Linked DNA regions of Caenorhabditis elegans. The protein of the gene in region 1 interacts with the protein of each later gene in a pairwise test. Each region holds a gene or a part of one and is shown on either strand. Other genes may lie near its edges. The genes, in order: K09G1.1 and abts-2.

Evidence for each region.
Region 2: the proteins of K09G1.1 (region 1) and abts-2 interact in a two-hybrid assay, tested with the Caenorhabditis elegans proteins (one large-scale study listed by BioGRID).

Annotation. Positions count from the first base shown.
Region 1 is NC_003283.11:9,582,111-9,592,096, forward strand, and holds K09G1.1 (MARVEL domain-containing protein), read left to right. Parts: upstream 1-2,961; coding exon 2,962-3,046; intron 3,047-4,073; coding exon 4,074-4,192; intron 4,193-7,048; exon of another isoform or gene 7,049-7,056; coding exon of another isoform or gene 7,057-7,155; intron 7,156-7,303; coding exon 7,304-7,426; intron 7,427-7,593; coding exon 7,594-7,776; intron 7,777-7,825; coding exon 7,826-7,939; intron 7,940-8,007; coding exon 8,008-8,124; downstream 8,125-9,986. Other genes in the region: rtfo-1 (RNA polymerase-associated protein RTF1 homolog), read right to left, coding at 1-308, 363-517; K09G1.2 (Protein RER1), read left to right, coding at 8,568-8,570, 8,617-8,739, 8,787-9,095.
Region 2 is NC_003284.9:11,582,989-11,591,847, forward strand, and holds abts-2 (Bicarbonate transporter-like transmembrane domain-containing protein), read left to right. Parts: upstream 1-2,686; 5' UTR 2,687-2,691; coding exon 2,692-2,843; intron 2,844-2,939; coding exon 2,940-3,116; intron 3,117-3,166; coding exon 3,167-3,290; intron 3,291-3,337; coding exon 3,338-3,439; intron 3,440-3,889; coding exon 3,890-4,000; intron 4,001-4,049; coding exon 4,050-4,134; intron 4,135-4,186; coding exon 4,187-4,309; intron 4,310-4,352; coding exon 4,353-4,466; intron 4,467-4,513; coding exon 4,514-4,646; intron 4,647-4,690; coding exon 4,691-4,764; intron 4,765-4,963; coding exon 4,964-5,114; intron 5,115-5,155; coding exon 5,156-5,247; intron 5,248-5,295; coding exon 5,296-5,464; intron 5,465-5,512; coding exon 5,513-5,686; intron 5,687-5,887; coding exon 5,888-6,006; intron 6,007-6,264; coding exon 6,265-6,344; intron 6,345-6,391; coding exon 6,392-6,561; intron 6,562-6,605; coding exon 6,606-6,669; 3' UTR 6,670-6,729; downstream 6,730-8,859. Other genes in the region: F52D10.2 (PID domain-containing protein), read right to left, coding at 7,304-7,431, 7,538-7,760, 7,854-8,121, 8,175-8,311, 8,360-8,519, 8,653-8,726.

The DNA.
Region 1 (9,986 bases):
GTTTCGGGGAACCTGCATCACTTCCACCACTGTTCATTTTCCTTCGTTTTTCGGTTTTGACTCCCTTTTCAGAACTTTTCTTTGCTTTTTTAGCAAGTTGTTGAGCAATTTCTTCTCGAGCAATCGCGTTTTCACGAGCCTCCATCCTTTCAAAAATTTCTTGCTCCTTTTCCAATTCTGTCAATTTCTTCCATCTTGCTTTGTCTTCTTTGTCAGCAAATAAATCATCATCTACTTGGTCATCGTCACTACTTCCAGTAGCTCGCCGCTTTCGCTTTGTTAAAGTCTTCTTTTTTGCAGGCTTTGCCCTGAAAATGGAAACTCGTATAACTTTTTTTTGGATAGAAAACAGTAAAACTCACTGTGGTTTTTCGGCATCTGAATCGGATGCCGAGGAGTCGGTACTGAGAGGTTTTCCAGGTTTTGGACCTGCGTCTGAGTCAGAATCGGAATCTGAAGTGGCTGGAGCACGGCGTTTTGTCTCTTCGTCTGATGAAGCACTCTCAGAGGAAGACATTGTTGATTAAACTGACCCTGAGAACATAATTATGAATTGAATAAATTATTAGAGAACGGTGAGAAGAAACGGTTGTATAAAAGTGATGTAGAGCGTCTGACATTTGTTCTGGGAAAATCGATATCGACACACAGTTGCAAGATGGCTACGAACAATAGGTTTCATACAAATATTTAAACAAATAAAAGAAACAAGGAAAAGTGTCATATTTTTAATGATATATGCGCGTTTTTGTCGAAAATATTCGAAAAATTAAGAAAAAACTTAAGTTTCTCAAAAAATGTGTCAATATTGGATTCGAGAAACAAAAAGGACGGGTGCAATAAAGTTTTTCTACTCTTTGAATTAAGATAATAATAAAGAATCATTAAAAATCAATTATAATAACGAAAAACCAAAGAAAATACCGAAAATTAAGAATAAATTTTTACATTCAAACTGCACAGTGTCAATACATTTAGTCCCGCCCACTTTGCAAGCCGCGCACGCTATTTTGCAAGGTTGTCGCACACAATTGGGATATTGGCTTCTGTTGCTGTAGGTCATGGTGCAAGCTATGTATATTTAATGGATTTATATATAAATACCAAACACTTTTATAATCGATAAGGAAATTGAGAGACACTCCCATTTTCTGAAGTTTAGAAAAACTAATTCTTTAGTGCCCATCCTGTGGGAATCCGAAGTGTTCTTATAGGTTTTTCAAATCTCTTATGCTCTCACAGTATTCTCAAAAACCATTAATCAAGAAAAAAACATAAGAAGAGACAAGGGTAGATGGCTTACGGAAATACAACCCCTTTTCCAGGTTAAACGATGTAAGAGAAGAAAAAACGAAAAAAGAAAGATCAAATGCTCTTTAGTGAACAGTTGTTCTATTAAAGTGTTTAGGTAGACCTGGAGATACAGAGAATCAGAAATAAAGGATAATCTTTCTTTTCGTGTTTCCTGTTGCCATTCGACAATTAGTAGAAGTAGTAAGCGAAGTTTTCGAAGAAAATGAAGAATTTGCGGTTCGAATCCCATCGACACAATGGAGGAGCAGCTGAGGCAGAGTTTAATTTTGGTAAGTTATCTGATTATTGAAATACTGCATGTTTTCTTTCTACGAGTTTTTAAGAGAGACTCATTTGTGTTTAATACATAAAAAATTCCGTATAACGCAGACGTTTAGATATTTTAATGTTGGTTATACTTTACTCGCAGGGGTCTCGCCACTCGGACAACGAGTTACTGTAGCTCGTATCAATTTACGGCCCTCTATATATTTGTATATGCGCCTTCAAGATTACGGTAAATAATTGCGAAACAAAATCTTGATGTCCAATTCAACAAATGTTCACATTAGTAACATTCAATTTTAATTTAACGCTAAATATAGAGACTTTCTGTAAAAAACCCGATTTCACATTGATTGTCTAACTTTTTCAGTCCGAGTTGCCCGTATAAAATTTCAAAAGACTTTGTGAACGTATTTTATCTTATTATTCTTTTAAAGCTTCAGAACTCAAAACTTTCCAAATGTTCATATTTTCTCGAACACAATCCATTTTGCTTTTCCGACAGTTCTAACCATCAAGTACATGTTTATCCAGCCAAGTGGTTTCTCCTCTCTATATCACTTTCATTCTAATCGATCTCTCTTCCTTCTCACAAAACCGGCAATTGTATTGCGTGACGACGTACCTCTCATCACGCATTCTGAATGAATATTGAAAATTTGAATATTTGAAATGGCTATGAGCCTGCAACGTTCACTACTTTATTAGAACTCATCATGATTACTCATCTACCTGCCAGCCGATTGGAAGATTACTACTTGACTTCAATTTTAGGTGATTTTAATTTATTTTCTTTCTTCTCTTCATCACCAAAATGAAATAAAAAGAAACAAATCAATCATGCCACACCTCGAATGATTAGTACTAGACATTACTGAAATTAAAGAGACTTAGACAGTCATTCAACTGATTTGATAACTTGAAAATTTCTTGGAGTAAGTAAAAGATATGACTCTGTTCAATGCTTGAAGTGCCACGTCACAAGAGGAATGTTTCTCTGAATCTCTTAGAGACACACATTATTTTTTATTGAGTGCTTCACCTATTTCTTCTTGCCAAAAACCATTCCCGTTCAATCTCTATTGCTGAGCAAACAGTGTACCAAGACAAAAAGTTAAGGATGGCTCCAAACTTTTTCCCTTTTCTTCAAAGTTTCGTTTCCAGACCGTACCTTTTTTTCTTTTTTTCAATTCTAACTTTCAGTCTTGAATAATAATAATATATACATTACTTTCGATATCAAAACAAATGTCAGCTCCTCCTATCCGTTCTCTCATTTTTGGTCTCCCAACTTTAGTTACAGTCCTTCTCGTCTTCTTTTTCTTCTTATTGTCGTTCGTTTTTTTTTGTTGCATTCTTGATTGACTGCCCAGTCGACAGACAATGAAAAAAGAAACAGATGACGAAAAATCAGTAGCTACGGCGCTTCGATCCACTGCTGGTTTTACGGCGGCTATTCCTGTTGAAGGTATTTGAGTTAGGAATGCGTAAACCTAGAAGCTCGGTGTCTAAATTTGCTTGTTTTAGATCATGAACTTTGTGAAAAGAACTTGTGAATTCACTTTAAGTTCTAAAAAATAGGCTAGAGATTCCATCTAGATATGCTTTACTTGAATTCTGTTTTCACATTTAGAAACCAGGAAGCTAAAATTAATGTCTCGTTATAAGTTTCATATCGTACAACTGAACTTTTTTTCATTTCTCCCTATTTTCTTCATCTTATCACCTTCTTTCAAAACAAGAACGATTGAAGGAAAAATGAAGACATTCGGAGTTTTTTTTGGTCATTTCGGTGATGGCCTTCTTATTTCCAATTATCAGTTTTATTGCTGATAAATTTGATTCAAAGTTCCTAGAGTTGGTTCTAAATAGATTAAATAAATTTGTATCAAATGATTTCAAAAAATTCAAATATACTGCATATTAAATGTATATTAAATGTCGAGATACAAGATAGTTACAGCATTTTTACCATTAGACATGCACCATATTACTCCATTTTTTAGCAATTATTTTAGTTCATTTGCAGATATCAACGAATCTAATTACAAAATTACATTGGGGTTTTGTCTATGAATACTTCATTTTTAAACAAAGAACCCGAGTTATGAGCTATTAAAGTTGAGTAATGGTCAGTACGACTTCTACGGAAAATATGAGGTCTCTGTTAGTTTAGAAGAAACAAATTATCACGAGCATTATTAATGTCGAAGATTACTGAGCTACTTGTCCTATAGTTTCACACTGCAATAGTTTTTCATTTGTTTTTCCGTTTCTGAGTAGGAGTAGTAAATCTTTTGTTTGCTCACTGCAAACCTAGAATGTACAGTCAGGTGATTCCATCTACACAATTGTTTCATAGACTCCAAAAACAAATGAGTTTTCTTACGAGTAATGTTCTTAGTTTTTAATTTCTAACACTATGTTCTTGCACTATCACTGATTTGTGACCTTTTCTCTACCTTTTTTCAATTGACTCAGGAAGATTGTTGCAGGGGAAGTACGTCGTGCGGCTGCCAGTTTTCAAGAAAATCCACAAGAAGACGGAAAAATGAGTGAAACAGAAATCATCACAATCCGCAAACCGGACGGAACCACCGAAACCAAGACAGTGGTACGTGTTTGTGTGAGTCCGTGTAACCTGCCCCCGCAACGAACGAACAGGGAAAAAATGCTGGGGAGAAGCATGAGCAGTTGCTTGAGAAGCTTTTGATAATGAAAGGTGTTAGGGATGTTAGTGGTGATTTTGACATGTATCTTGATACGTTTGATACGTTTGAACACATCGAAATCTTTTGCCAAGTGCTTTTCAATCAGCCGGTTTTCAGTTGTTTATAATTAGTATTGGCAAAAATAACCATTTTTTGACAATTTTTGCCAATTCAACAAATTTAAATCAAGTACTATAAAATTTGTAAAAAATATTATGTTTGTCAAATTCAAAAATTATGTTAAGTGCTTTCATTCAAATAACTGTTTTCAAAAGTGTTTTTTTTTTCAAAATTGAACAGGATTTTTAAATAAGGAAGTTTTAAAATATGTTCCAATAGTTTCGGACAGCTAACCTAATCTAAAAAATCCATGTGGTGTTTATTCAGACATGTCATGTCATCATGAGAATGTATAATTATGAGTACTAGTAGTTGGTGCTATTGATAGATCCGGTTCACCCCTCTTCTTTTTCATACAGTCCCACTTTTTCACCGATTTGATCCTATCCATTTTGCTGTTTCATTTCTCTATCCTCCCAGTCTACCAGTTATTTATTTACCTGTCCATTTATTCGATCGATTCAAATTCACTTCTGTATTTATTCTTTCGACCGTCGTCGTTGCTTTACAAAAGGTAACTGAAGACCGCCTAATGATAGACGTAGACGAATGGATTGAAGATTTTTTTTACAATAAGAAAAATAGATGAAGAATACGGAAAAACCACACCTTCTTATCATTTTTTGTTCTTGTTTTGGTTTGGTTTAACTTCGTTGAAATAGATTGACCGGAAGAAGTTTTATTTAAAATTAATTTAAAATTATTATTAAACACACTTCATTTTAAGAATCATTCAGAAAATTTCCAATGGGAATTTTTCAGGTTTTTTCTCCCGATACATCGTTTTTTGGTTGAATGCATATTTTCCAAAGCCCATTGAGAAACTAAACATGGTCATAACTTTGCAATGTTTTATAGAAATGAAATATGTGAGATTGTGTGCCAAATTGAGCCAAATATGCAACTGTAAATACTTTATGAAACTATTTTATGTATCTTTTTGTGTTGACATACTTGACAAATCTCAAGCAATTGTTTTTCGTCGACCAAGATATAAGATTACATATCATCGATATCAAGATACAACCTATTTTTCTTAAAAAACCGCAATTATATGATTCACTCCAAGCTGATTTGGACACTGTGGTTTTAAATACCTCTTTTTGTAGAACCACGAAAAAGGCGAACAAACAAATTGAAAATATTTATTTTTTACTTTTTTTGATAGAAGAATGGGAACACCAAAGTGTATTTTAGTGTTTTATCACCCCGTTGGAAAGATAGAAATCATTCCAAGGTCAGTTTCTATTTCTCTTAGTATCTCATCTTCTTCCTTTTCCTCTCTCCTGAAATCTAAATTCCCATTTGCCTCCATTTCCGGATGTTTTCCACTTGAAGAAAAGAACATGACCCTCTCGTTATTTGACTTTGAGGAGTGATGTCCACATAGTTTCCGAACGTGAAAAGTGACACTTTGGAATCGTGTCTTCACTATGCCTCGATTCATTTCATGATGCGGAAGAATGATTTTCAATTGGCCATTCACAATGACATTTTGTTTATTTTTTGAAATTACCTAGAATTTATCAAATTGGATTGTTTTTCTCTAGTAATCAGCTAGGTTTATTTCATATCTTCTCGAGATTTTTTTTTTCATTTCCTTTAATGATACAATTATTTTTTAAATAAGAAATCGGATTTCAATTTCACTCAAAACACTTAAAAAATCACGAACGTCTGTTTCATACATGAATTAATACAATTTTGTATCGTTTGCAGTTCTATGTTTGTTCTGAAATTGTCAGGAAAAATACACGCAAATTTAAGGTAGCACAGTAAAGGTCCATGTCGCGATAACCCAAAAATACCAAACAATCTAAAAATATTTACGAAAAAACACGAATTCAGAAATAAATTAGAGCAATGTGCACAATGTTTAGATAAAAGTAAGTAAAGCTTAATTAGAATAGAAAATTTGAAGGAAAATAAACAGTTTTTTGGTCGAGTTCGAAACCTTTCTACAGAAAATGTGGTTTATGAGTACCATCTTCATTTTAAATCATTGAATTATTAGAAGAATGATTAATAACTAAACGACGATACCTATTCACCCAGAAGTATATATTCATTATATGTATATTTTCACTCAGTGATTTGCAAAGAACCCAAAAACCTTCACAATATCTTTCTAATGTGAAACATAACAGTTAGATTTATCCAATGTCTACAAGTACAATAGTCTCTCGATCTCTCATCTCGATTCTTGACCGCGTAATGCTATCATCACTTACGGATCTTCTTCTTCCCAATTTCCTTCTCCGGTCTTTTCTGTGTCTCTTCTTTTCAACTTCGATATTACTACTATATACACGTATCTTCTGTCACTTTTCTCCGAAGAACCAGGTCATGACTGTGTCTGTATTTATTTACAAAACTCACATTTTATTCTTTTTCTTCTTCTTTTTTTTTACTTTTCCACGCTTTATCGATACTTTTTGTGTTCTTGCTTTTGCCTTTTTGTAAAAAAATTGACAATGCATGTTTCTTGGCTTTGTCATCAAAAGACGAATACCCGAAAACATCCAAATAAAAGGAATCTAAAAAAGTTTGGAATTCTCCCAATACCTGTTTTTCTTTTTCATATTTTCCTTTTCTCTTCAACTTACCTATCCATAATCATAATCCTTCTACCATTGAAGAATAGAAAATGATGCAAACCGAAGAGGGAACAACCGTTGAATTGGGACCGGCCAAGGACGTACCCCATTCTGATGACATCACAAGACCTGATTCTTCTCCAAAGAAGGTTCCTAACTTAAGATTCAAATTTTAAAGCACTTAGAAATATTATTAATAACCCTAATTAAATGCACCAACCTTTTTGATAATGTGCAGGGCAGGTACACAAAATGTTAAAAATTTAAAATTATTTTTTAAACATCAAGTTATTTCAGGAGAAAAAGAAGCTTCAATTCCATATGGCTAATAAGGTGAAAATCATTCCAACAAACCGTCAAGGACAACTCAACACTGGTTACTTGGCAACACTTGCCGGAGTTTTGAAGATTGCTGAAATTGTGAGTTTGGAATGTGCTCATCCTCCTAATTTTTGAAGCTGTATTGCATGTCAATAGTTATTTTAAATTGAAAGATCGGCGGCAAAATAAGTCGAGTCACATCTATATTGTAGGCAGACAAGTAGTAATTTTTTGCTTGCAAATCATAAAACCTGAATACTTAACAGGTTCTTTCTTTCATCGCCTTCATCCTTGCCATCTGTGCTGATCGTCGAACAACAACAGCCGCCTGGACTGAGCATATCTCATTTGAAACTCTTCTTATTGTTTCTGCACTTCTTCTTGGTTATGTAGTCTTCCCACATCTTACCATCAAAGATGAAGCCACGAGAGAGGGACTTATTGTTGTGGTAATTACCAGGTTCATGCCGATCGAATCATAGATTTTGAAAAATTTAGGAGCTGATCTTCTATGGAGTCAACACTCTTTTGTACTTCATCTCAATCTGGTTAATGGTTCATTTGTCTGCTAGCTGGGGAACGGATGGAAGAGGAGCTGCTATTATGACTGCTGTAAGTATTTGTTTTCATAGTTACAGTTGCATTATATTGTTTTCACTTGCAAAATACATTAATTTCAGGTGATCTGCGTCGCCTTAACAGTATTGTTTGCTATTGAAACCGTCGTGAAGCTGAAGGCGTGGAGAGGAGAAAACGAGCCAACAACTGTGATTGAAGCCGGAAATGCTCAAGCTTAAATAAAAGTTCTTTCAAACTGACCAATTGTGATGATCCATTCTTAGCCTCCATTCAATTTGACTAGTCCTCAATCCAAATATTGAATTGCCAACGTTTATCAACCAAAAACCTTATATTTTCTTATTCTCACTTCACTTATAATTTTTCAAGAGCCTTTCCAATTTGTGTTGTATTGTTTAACGCTCACAGGTAGAATTAGCATTTTTATTGTTCTGAAACTTGACATTTGTTTTTCAATATGAAATTGCTTTCATAAATTTTTAATAAATTTATTTGGCCGTTTTGAATATTTCTTGCAATTGGAAAGTTATTAAAAGTTCACGGACGTTATTAAGATTGCAACGTTGCAAAACTCACGTAACGAATTCGAAAAACAGACCATTTCCAATGAAAATTTATTGCTTAATTTACTTGTGGCAAAATTCGACGGAAAGTTCAAAAAATGGTAAGTGAAATCCAATGCTGACTGTTCTTCAAAATCGTTTTTGAAGGAAAATAGCAATTCGACTCGCACTGCGATTCCAAAAACTGAAACTTCAATGTCCGAGAAGAAAAAGAAACCCGACAGCCTAAGAGCAGAAACTCCACAACCGAAAAGATCTACAGGCATTAAGGTATGTTATTGTGCATTTGTTTTGTAGTTCAATTTTATGTTTTTTAGGATGTAATCGATATAATCTGGGCTGCTCTCATCTTCGTTCTCATGATTGTCGTTCGGTTCCTTCATTCTGCATTCGAGATTCTTTCCGACATATTTGTGAAAGTCTATCGTATTCTTATCTTTTGCTACCGTAAACCAAATCATGCAAAAGAGCTCTTCAAATCAACTCTCAATATTATCAAAGTATCCTATGATGCTGAGATCTGGACTTGGACTGATATGTGGGAAATCTTCAAGTCTCATTTGGTAACTCCAATGACAAAACAGCCACCCGCACGTCCAGCTCCTCAATCTGCTAAACAAAAATAGGAAGGAAGAAATACAACATTGAAACGAGGAAACTAATAAAGCTTGTCGATTTAAAATTTTTGTTGTTTGGTACAATCTGATTGTTTTCTCAAAGGCAGCTGTTTATTATTTGCAATCTAAGTTATTTGTTGTTATAATATAGGGATTTAATGGAGCCTTAGATTCAGGCAGCGGCACCAACATCAACCCTGCCTACTCCAAGACTGATCACGCGAGACAGGTCAGACAGGCGTTTAGACACCTATTTGGAATACCTATTCAAACATGAGCTTCTCCTCTTCAGACGTCATAAAACTTTTAGTTCCCAGAAGGAAGTTGTCTTCCTCTCATCCTTTTCTCAATTATAATGCGCCCCCGCCCCAATTTCAATCTCCGGGACTCTTTCCACGTTTTCAACCCTTTTTTCAATAAGTGTGTTATGCACCTTGAAGAGTCTAAAAATATGTTGACCTATTTGAAAAAAAGTTGAGAAAGGAAAGGGTAAGCGGCCCACCCACTCAACCCTTGTAAAAGTATTATAGGAGCACTATGAGGTAATAACTCACAAGACTTGACCCAAACACTCATATATCATCTGGAACTGATGTTGCGATCTTTAGACATAAACTTGTTTTTTTTCATTCTGCGTGTAGTTTTCCTCCCGATTTTTCTTTTTAAACTTTCCGTAGCAATATGAAAATGTTTAAAAGAGATTACCAAATTTGGAAACTCAACGAAAATTATTTAATTTTAATTAACTGACTGATAAATTATCAATTACTGTTATTGAAAATATGTTTCAAATAAGTTTTGATGATATCAACCAACTGCTAAAAACTATAATTTTTCCAGGCTATGATTACACACTTTTCGTAAAACTCGAGACCATTCCTTGCGAGTCGTTGGCGCAAA
Region 2 (8,859 bases), on another chromosome or scaffold:
TCCTCCCATCCATCAGCCGTTAATTGATGCACTGAGGGAATCCTCGAATGAGTAAGGTGATTTTTTGCAAGTGACGTAACAATAATTTTTTGCAGACCTGAAGACTCAAAAGCAGCAATGGTAGCGCCAGTTTTACTAGCAACAGTGCACAACCTGACTCCCTTGTATCAGTCTTTGGTTCAAAACTTTCCCATTTATGTGTCTGCGCTAGATCAGTTATATCGATCAAAAATTCCATTTCGAACAATCATGTCGTTAGTTTGCAAAAATGAGTAGTGAAATTTATATCTAAACATTTGCAGAAAATTTGAATCATCAAAAGAATGCTACACCCAAGTGAATTGGATTCTTCTGAAAATTCTTAACCGCCTCATCAACTGGCAACCGGTGTTAGCGAGAGTTATTGAAATTCAGTTATCAGAATGTGGGAATGACACGGAAACAACTGCCTTTGGAGTTGCAATGGATAAAATCATCGAATTTGCAAAAAAGACCAAGGCAACCAGACAGTCACTTGAAGAATACATCCACGTTCTACAAGTTGAAAGGGATACGGGACTAGTTGGAATACTTACTCATCCAAACAGAAAAATTTTGCGTGTGGGATTTGTGCTCCGATCTGCCAGACGTGCACCATGCTGTAGGATAATGGTGCTTTGTTCCGACAGGATATTATTTGGGCACCGAGGTGTGAACTTGGACGGAAACTTTTTCACTGTTCATGCTGAATTCAAATTGAAAGGGATGATGGTATGGAATTTTAGTTAGGGAACTTCTAAAAATTTTTAATTTAAGATTGATGAAGGTGATACATACAAAGTGATGGACGGCGAAAATAATGTAATCACTCTCCACAACGCAGATATCTCTATTGTTTTTGCTGCACCAGATCGTGCATCTTGGATTGAAGACATTACAGAAGCTATTAAAAATGCGGCTAGAGCAAAGATAGATCTACCTAGTTTGGTAATGGAGAAGAAAGAGGAAAATGATATTGATAGTAAGAAAACTGCTGTTACTTTAAAACATGCTTTTAATTTTTTTCAATTTTAGTGACAAAAGTGTTGCTACCAGAAGAATCTCCCGTGTCAAAAATGAGCCCATTGCAAATTTGCTGGTATCGAAAATGCTCGTTTGGAAGAAAAGATGTCAATAAAATGATAACAAATACCATGTGTGGATATTTGAAGCGGAAACTGCGCAATTCATCCGGGTGGCAGGATTTATGGGTGGTCATGTGTTGTCACACACTGTACTTTTATAGAAATCATAACGTGAGTTCACGAAAAATAAAGAAAACAGTCAGTCACAGGTTGAGAACTGCCAAATTTCGGAAAAAAAAACGGTATTTTTGAAAAATATAGGAGATTAAATCAAACCTCTGCAATATCCAAATACAAATAGTTGGAACATTATAAGAATCTAAAATTTGTAGAAAAATATTATGTTGTTTTGTCTGCAAACAAATCAAATTCAATTATTTTTCAACATTAAGTAGTTTTCAAAATGGTACCCTTAGGCGGTACTCTCTCTATCTTTAAGAAAGATTTGTTGTTCTATTTTTGGCTTGTTGCTGAAAAATCTAAAGTAGTTGAATTTTCCAGGCACATTTTTACAGACCGACGAATACTGTTGTTAATTAATTTTTATCAATTTTAGGAGAGAGAACCACTTGCACATTTGTCCCTCATGGATTATGGTGTAGGACTGCCAACGGTTGCTGACAAGATCGACAACCATGAGAACTGCTTCAAGTTGTTCTACGGTTCACACACCTACTTTTTCCGCACCGATTCCTATTACTTTTTTGAAAGGTTTGTTCATTTTTTCCATGTCTGGATCAGATATACATTGTGTCCGTCACCTTCAATTAACTTTTTATTTCACTTGCAGATGGGTCGATTCAATCTTCCAAGCGGCAATCTCCCGCGACTCACTTGATGTCGTCACGGCTCTTGCTCTCCGCATTTGATGAATTTGTCGTTCTACTCCCTGGCCCGTTGTGAAATCATAAAAAAGTCTCATGCACGCAACAAAAATTGAATTGCTGGTATCTTTAATTTGAACTGCTCCTCTCCATTCTATTGTCATTCCTTATTAAATTGCACAAAGTTTTAAGAAATAAATTTGTAAAACATAGTCTTATTTAATAAAACCACTCCATGTCTTACTCTACCACATTCTACACAAACTATGGTACCGAAAATGCAGAGTTATCATAGAAATTGAAAGTTAACGCTACCGATGACGGACACAATTGAAACATTCTGCATATTTTTGCATTTTTAACTAATCCAGGAGTCAATGTCAACAGAAAATGACTGTTGACAGCGTCATAACTCAAATTGTATCAACGTTATTCGCATTTTATTTCAAAATATTCTAGAATATCGTTTCTAGTTTTATTCGTTTCAAAACTCTTCAACACCACATGGTTCTAATTTTAAAGCATAGTAATTCACAAAAACCATTTAAAGATACCATCTTGGAGTATTACGGTGGTTTATTGGCTCATTTGGATTGTACGAATTTAATGGATTTGTTCAAAGCCTCACTTTGAATTCGGGTTTAAATATCGTATACTTGCAAAATTGTATTCTTATGCGTGTTTTCAAGTTTTTGTTGCACTTATTTACTACTTAACTACGTTTATTCAATACTCATCAACTGTGAAATTGAGTTTCAGTAGTAATGCCTGAATTACTATGTCGAACGGAAAGGGTGGAACATGCGCGAAACTTTAAGACTGAAGTACGAGGATTAATGGATGTTGATCACTTGATTGAAAGAGCTTGCATTCATAGAAACATGAATCATTCTCATATCCACACAATTCTGTTGTCGTAAGTTTTGTATTACTTCTCTTTTCCATTGCAGTATTTTGAAAAACGGTTTAGCTAATATTTTAATCAACTAATCGTATGCTTACTTAATTTCAGGTTGTTTTCCGATCTATCCTCTCGGTTCCCACAGGAAAAGTTCGATCTGGCTCTGTTTAAAAATGCCGTGTTCTCGGTGTCTGATAGAGATTCGCGTGCTCCACGCCTTCACCATAAGCTTCAAAGTTACTCAGGAACTGACTTTTTCGACGTCAACCAAACCTGGATTGTGACATAGTGAGTTGTTTCTTTGCATATGTTTTAACTTTTATTGCTGCCACCTTCAGTGCCCAGCTTGATGGCCTAAAACAAAGCCACATGGCATTGGCGACTCTTGAGGATGCAACAAATCTTGGTCTGGAAATGGAGGAAGCTAGGACTGTGGTTCTTATTCTTTCGCCAAGCTATGAGGTGTGCATACTAAACGGCTCTCATTAATAATAGTTGTTCATGTCTAGAAACATACAAAGTCAGCAGCGGAAATTGCAAGAACTTTTGCTACCCTTTTAATGAATGACACACTCCGTCAATCTGTGAATGATGCAGCCGATGATGATCAGGTTAAAAGACAACATTAAAATCTGGGGTTGAAAAGTAAAAACTGATAATTTTTACCAAAGTCGTTTTTAATGCGGATTATAGTGTCTAGTTGCATTTTTTTAAATAAAATAATTTACTATGCATTGCTTTAACTATTAAAATTACCCGCACTAGAGTTGCTGTCAAATTGACATTGAAAATTAAAATAACTGTTCATTTTGAAATTTCGTCCCTGATAGTACTCCCCAACTTTTTGTGATTATTCTAATGTTTTTGTTTTCATAATACATTTGTGAAGTTGTCAAAAACAAATCTTTTTTTTTAAATTTAATCAAACGTGCTTGATCAAAAATTATACTTCAGAATTTTGTTTCGTTTCGTATTGCAGTGAAAATGAACAATTGAAAAATTGTAGTGCTTGCAATACTAATAGAGACAAAAATTTTATAATCTTATTTTTTTTATTCCAGCTTCGTGACCTGTTAACTGAATATGCAAAAGGGCTTTCACAACAGCTCACTATTCAAGTTAACGGAAAACCAATTGCGGATGACGATGATGAGTATGAATCAAAAAATTCTGTAAACTCACTTTGTATCTGATTTCAAATAATGTACCTTCTGCTTTCAGAGTTTTTGTCCCTACTATCCTTTCCGCGGTCTGGTCAAGGATTTCAAACGTCGCATGGCAAATTACAAATCGGATTATTTGGACGGTGAGATTTTGTGAACAAATGAAAATAACCGAGTAACGAGTTATTCTTAAAGGCATCAAGGACCGTCGATCGGTTTCCAAAGTGATTTCAACTGCAGTATTTTTGATTTTTACAATATTGCCAACGTCAATCGCATATGGAATGTTGAATGAAAACAATACGAATGGGGCGATTAGTAAGGAATACTGTAGTACATTTCAAAACAAAATCAGTTGTAGATGTACAAAAAGTGGTTCTGGGGCAATGGATTGGAAGTTTGCTTTTTGGGATATTTGGAGGTCAACAACTTTTGATTCTTTCAACCACGGCTCCATTGAGTATCTACATTGCTGGTGACACAAAAATTGAATATGTTTTATGTTCTGTAATTGTTTTTCAGTGATCTATCAAGTTGCACAGACAAACGATTGGGATTTCTTTCAAATGTACGCGTCTGTTGGGATTTACGCAATGGGTTTGCTGATTCTAGCATCAGTATTTCAGTTAGCATCACTTATGAAGTTTACAACAAGGTATTATTGAGATGATTCACGAAAACGAGCATGAGAGTTTTTAGATCCACCGAAGAAATTTTCTCAGTTTTCATTGCTCTGGCTCTTATCATAAAAGCAATTATGGCAATTGTTCACGGTAATATCAAAACTTTCTTGCAGTAAAAAACCTGTACAAATTGTTTTTGAATAATAACAAAACACATAAATTCTCAGTATTCATTCATGTTTTGCGGCTAGTACCATCAAACGCTAGACTGTCCTAGAAAAACCTTGTTCTATAAATTGTTTTGAAAAATAAATATAGTAACATCCTAAGCTCTACAATTTCTGTTTAGTTTACACTCATGGATATCTTGGATGCATTAATAATGTTGCTGGTGATCTTTGCGACCCTGCCGAACCACTTCTTTTTATCTTCCTTCTGTTTGGAACTACTTGGCTCAGTATGACAATTATTTCATTCAGAAGTTCCCCATATCTTTCAAGGTACTAATTGACAAGAATCCGTAAATCAGTAAAATTTTTAGATGGAAACGCGACTTAGTATCTGATTATGCTTTGCCAATTGCCGTTCTCGTTTTTTCATTTATTTCGTTTTTTGGTTTTAGTGATGTCAAGAGTAAGAGAAAATTTGAGGTTGAAAATTCATACTTTGATCTTATTTCAGAAGAACAATTCCAAATTTTCTCACGGGAAACCGATGCATTCTTTGTTCCTTTCTTCAATTTACCCGCTGAAGCTCAACTACCAGCAGTTGGTCTTGCCATTCCATTGTCTATTCTCTTTTTTATGGATCAACTTCTTGTTACCAATACTGTTGACAACAAAGACAATAAGTGAGTGGAGATTTATAGCTATGTCTGTCTTCCATCACATTCTTCCAGGCTGAAAAAGGGTTCTGCACATCATTGGGATCTGCTTGTTGTTGGAGTTTTAAATATTGGATTATCAATTTTCGGATTACCATGGATGCACGGAGCCCTACCATCAGCATATCTACATTTGAAGGCACTGAGTGATGTGGAAGATCGTCTACATAACGGATACATACAGACAGTGTAATGTTGACGTAGAGTACAAAGAACATTTGAGTGGAAAACAAATAATTAAAAATATATGACGATTGAAAAAAAAAACATACCCAACATTTTTGAAATAGCGGTCATGCCTACCGTGTTAAAATTGAAATGTTAAAGTACAATAACTAATATGGTGATCTTTAAAAAATTAATTTAAAACAATGAATCACTAACTTTCAGAATCGTTCACGTTCGAGAAACTCGCTTGGCAACGTTAATTGCACACATCATTATGATACCAATCTACTTCTTTTTGGTTCCACACATCACAGTATTTATTCCAACATCAATCTTTAACGGTAATCATATAGAATCAGTGAAATTTTCTGTTTTTTTTCGCAAAAAACTACAAAGAGTTTAGTTTGTGTATAAATTTGATATTTGACTAAAATGTAGAAGTTTTTTATCATAATATTTAGTGATTTAGATTTTGCAAGTGGATTGAGACAAAATCTAAATGGTTTTACTTTACCTTAAAACATACATTTACTTAGTATGCAGGGATTGGTTTTTTTTGTTTGATTTTAAAAGCAACTTTTTCATATGACATATTTTAGGTGTTTTCCTGTTCATGGCATTCAGCAGTTTGACTGGAAACGAGTTTTGGGAGCGAATCTTGCTAATTTTCACCGAACAAGTAGGACGTTCGTTTTTATTGACAATAAGATATTTGTTCCTTTTCAGCGTGCTTATCCACCAACACATTACATCCGCCGTGTTCCTCAAAGAGTGGTTCATCAATTCACGATCATTGAATTCATCCAACTTGTAATCCTTGTGGCTATCGGTTTTGCACAGTATCACTACGTTGAGATGGTGTTTCCTATTGTTATCGCAGCTTTCATTCCATTCAGGTACACCTTTTTCATAATTACAACTTCGACTCGAACATTTTCAGACACTTCTTCCTTCCGTTGTTCATCCGAAAGCAATATTTAGAAGCAATTGATGGACAGCATTGAACATGCCCACCCTATTTTTACAAAACATATAATTCACATTTTTTATAAAGCGTCTTTTGAACATTATTATTGTAATATCATATGCGTAATCAAAACAGTCTTTGGTAAAATTCGCCAATTGCATTAGTCATTGCACCAGAAACGACAAGTCATGTCTAGTCATGACCCAGCTCCAAACAAAAAAAATTGCAATAAAATTGCGGAAAATGTTAGAACAATCACAAACGAGTAATACATTAATGACAATCAATCGATATTACATTAAAATAATAGTATTGGCAGAATCTTTGAACAGATGCAGTAGGAGAGAGGATCGTGTCTAGCGAACATTTAGTTTAAGTTAACTAAGAGAAAAAGTCTAATTTTAAAGTATATAAAGTATAGTCATACAGGACAAAACCGATAATTTTTGGGTTCAACATATGGCGAGAAGGAAAGAAAGAGGGAAAAGAATATAAAAATGATGCTGAGAATTCTGAGACTTTTTGTTTTAGTTAATAGGTTTGAGAGGTTTGGAACAAAAATAAAACAAAAAAGCGACGGACCCGCGAAAAGAGTCGAATATCATTCGGAATTTGAAATATGAAATTTGAGTTTGATTGTGTTTTCAATGATTTGATGAAAATAACAAGCTTCAGAGCGACGTTACTTGCTCAACCTCTTCATCATCCTCGTAATCTTCTTCGAGGATAACCAGATCGTTGTCGGACGCATAGATTTCTTCACTAGATTCGCGAGCCAGCTTGCCTTCCTCGTGGTATCCTGTAAAACGAGAACATTATACCTAGTTATTTGTCAAATTTAATTGATTGAACTAAATTAAATGAACTATGATTGACAACTTCACATTTCCCCTTGTTTTACTTACCGCTTTCTTCAGAGAGGCTGTCTGGATCCGTCACAGGGAGCCGCAGAGTTGTCCTGTCATCATCGGAGCACACAGAACTTGCACCGGTAGTCGATGAACTGCTTGGTCCGGCATCAGACTTGTAAGTGTCACTAACTGGGAACGATGAGTTGGAGTCGACATCTGGAGCAGCACGGTAGCACACTGACTCATTGTCGTCAGAACCAAATTGCTCTTCATCTTCCTGAGAAAAACAACATAGTATTTTGTAATAGCAAAAGGTTTTTTATCTTTAAATTCAAAGAAGCAAACGCAATTCTACATTTCCAACACTCACTTCTTGTTCTTCGTCAATACTGCCCAGACGAGGCGCTGACTTTGATCGGCTAACAGGCGGACGGAAATTGAGGGTTCCAGTCTGCAAAATGAGCTTGCGACGAGGACACCCGGCTGATCCGGTGAGACGAGCATTCTGAGCAGAGAGTTTCTCACGCTTGTACTCCTGAAGTGCAGCATGCAAGAAGTTCTGAAGACGCGTGTTGATAATTCCCGGTTCGGCACTCTTCTTGCACAAAACCGCATGACACCGAAGTTCCGGTTTCAGTCTAAAAACGGTGATACAAAATAAATAATAAATATCGAATTTGTTAATCTGTACCTTTTTCCGTCGTGCTTGTAAATCCAGCAGAAAACTTTTGGATATTCAGGAGGAGCCGAACTAAATGTGATTCTGTGTGCCCAGTATTCCGTCAGCCCTTGTTGTTTTGTCTCAGCTTTCAATCCCGATCTTGTAATCTGTAATACAAGAATTTCGATAAAACTGCTTAAGCTAACTTTTCTGACCTCCAAGTTCATTCCCAAATCACTTCTGGCACGCGAGCAGTACGCTTTCCAAATCAACGACAACGGTTTTTCATAGCAATTCTCACCACGTGCCATGATTGTTAATACGTTACCCAGATAGATGACATTGTACGATTCTTCAGGGGGATTGATCGTGTACCTAAAAAGAACGCGTTTTTTTCATGTCAATTTTTTGAAGACTGTCTACTGTAAAAAACAGCTATCAGACTGAGGCAAACAAAAAAAAAGAAATCTAGAAAATCGTGGTAGTGATATGATTAATTATCACTTACCTTTGCTTCTTCTTTCTGAACGGCAATGTGAAGAAGTTGGAGGCTGACTGTGCAGTGCTACCCAAGAACGGCATTGTCTATAAAAAATAATATTTTTAAAACTATTTAACGATCAATGTAAATTATAGAAAAGCCAGAGAAAAAAGTAGAGGGCAATGAAACAGACTGAGAATTGAGCGGAACACATTAAAAGTTTTGTGGGAACAA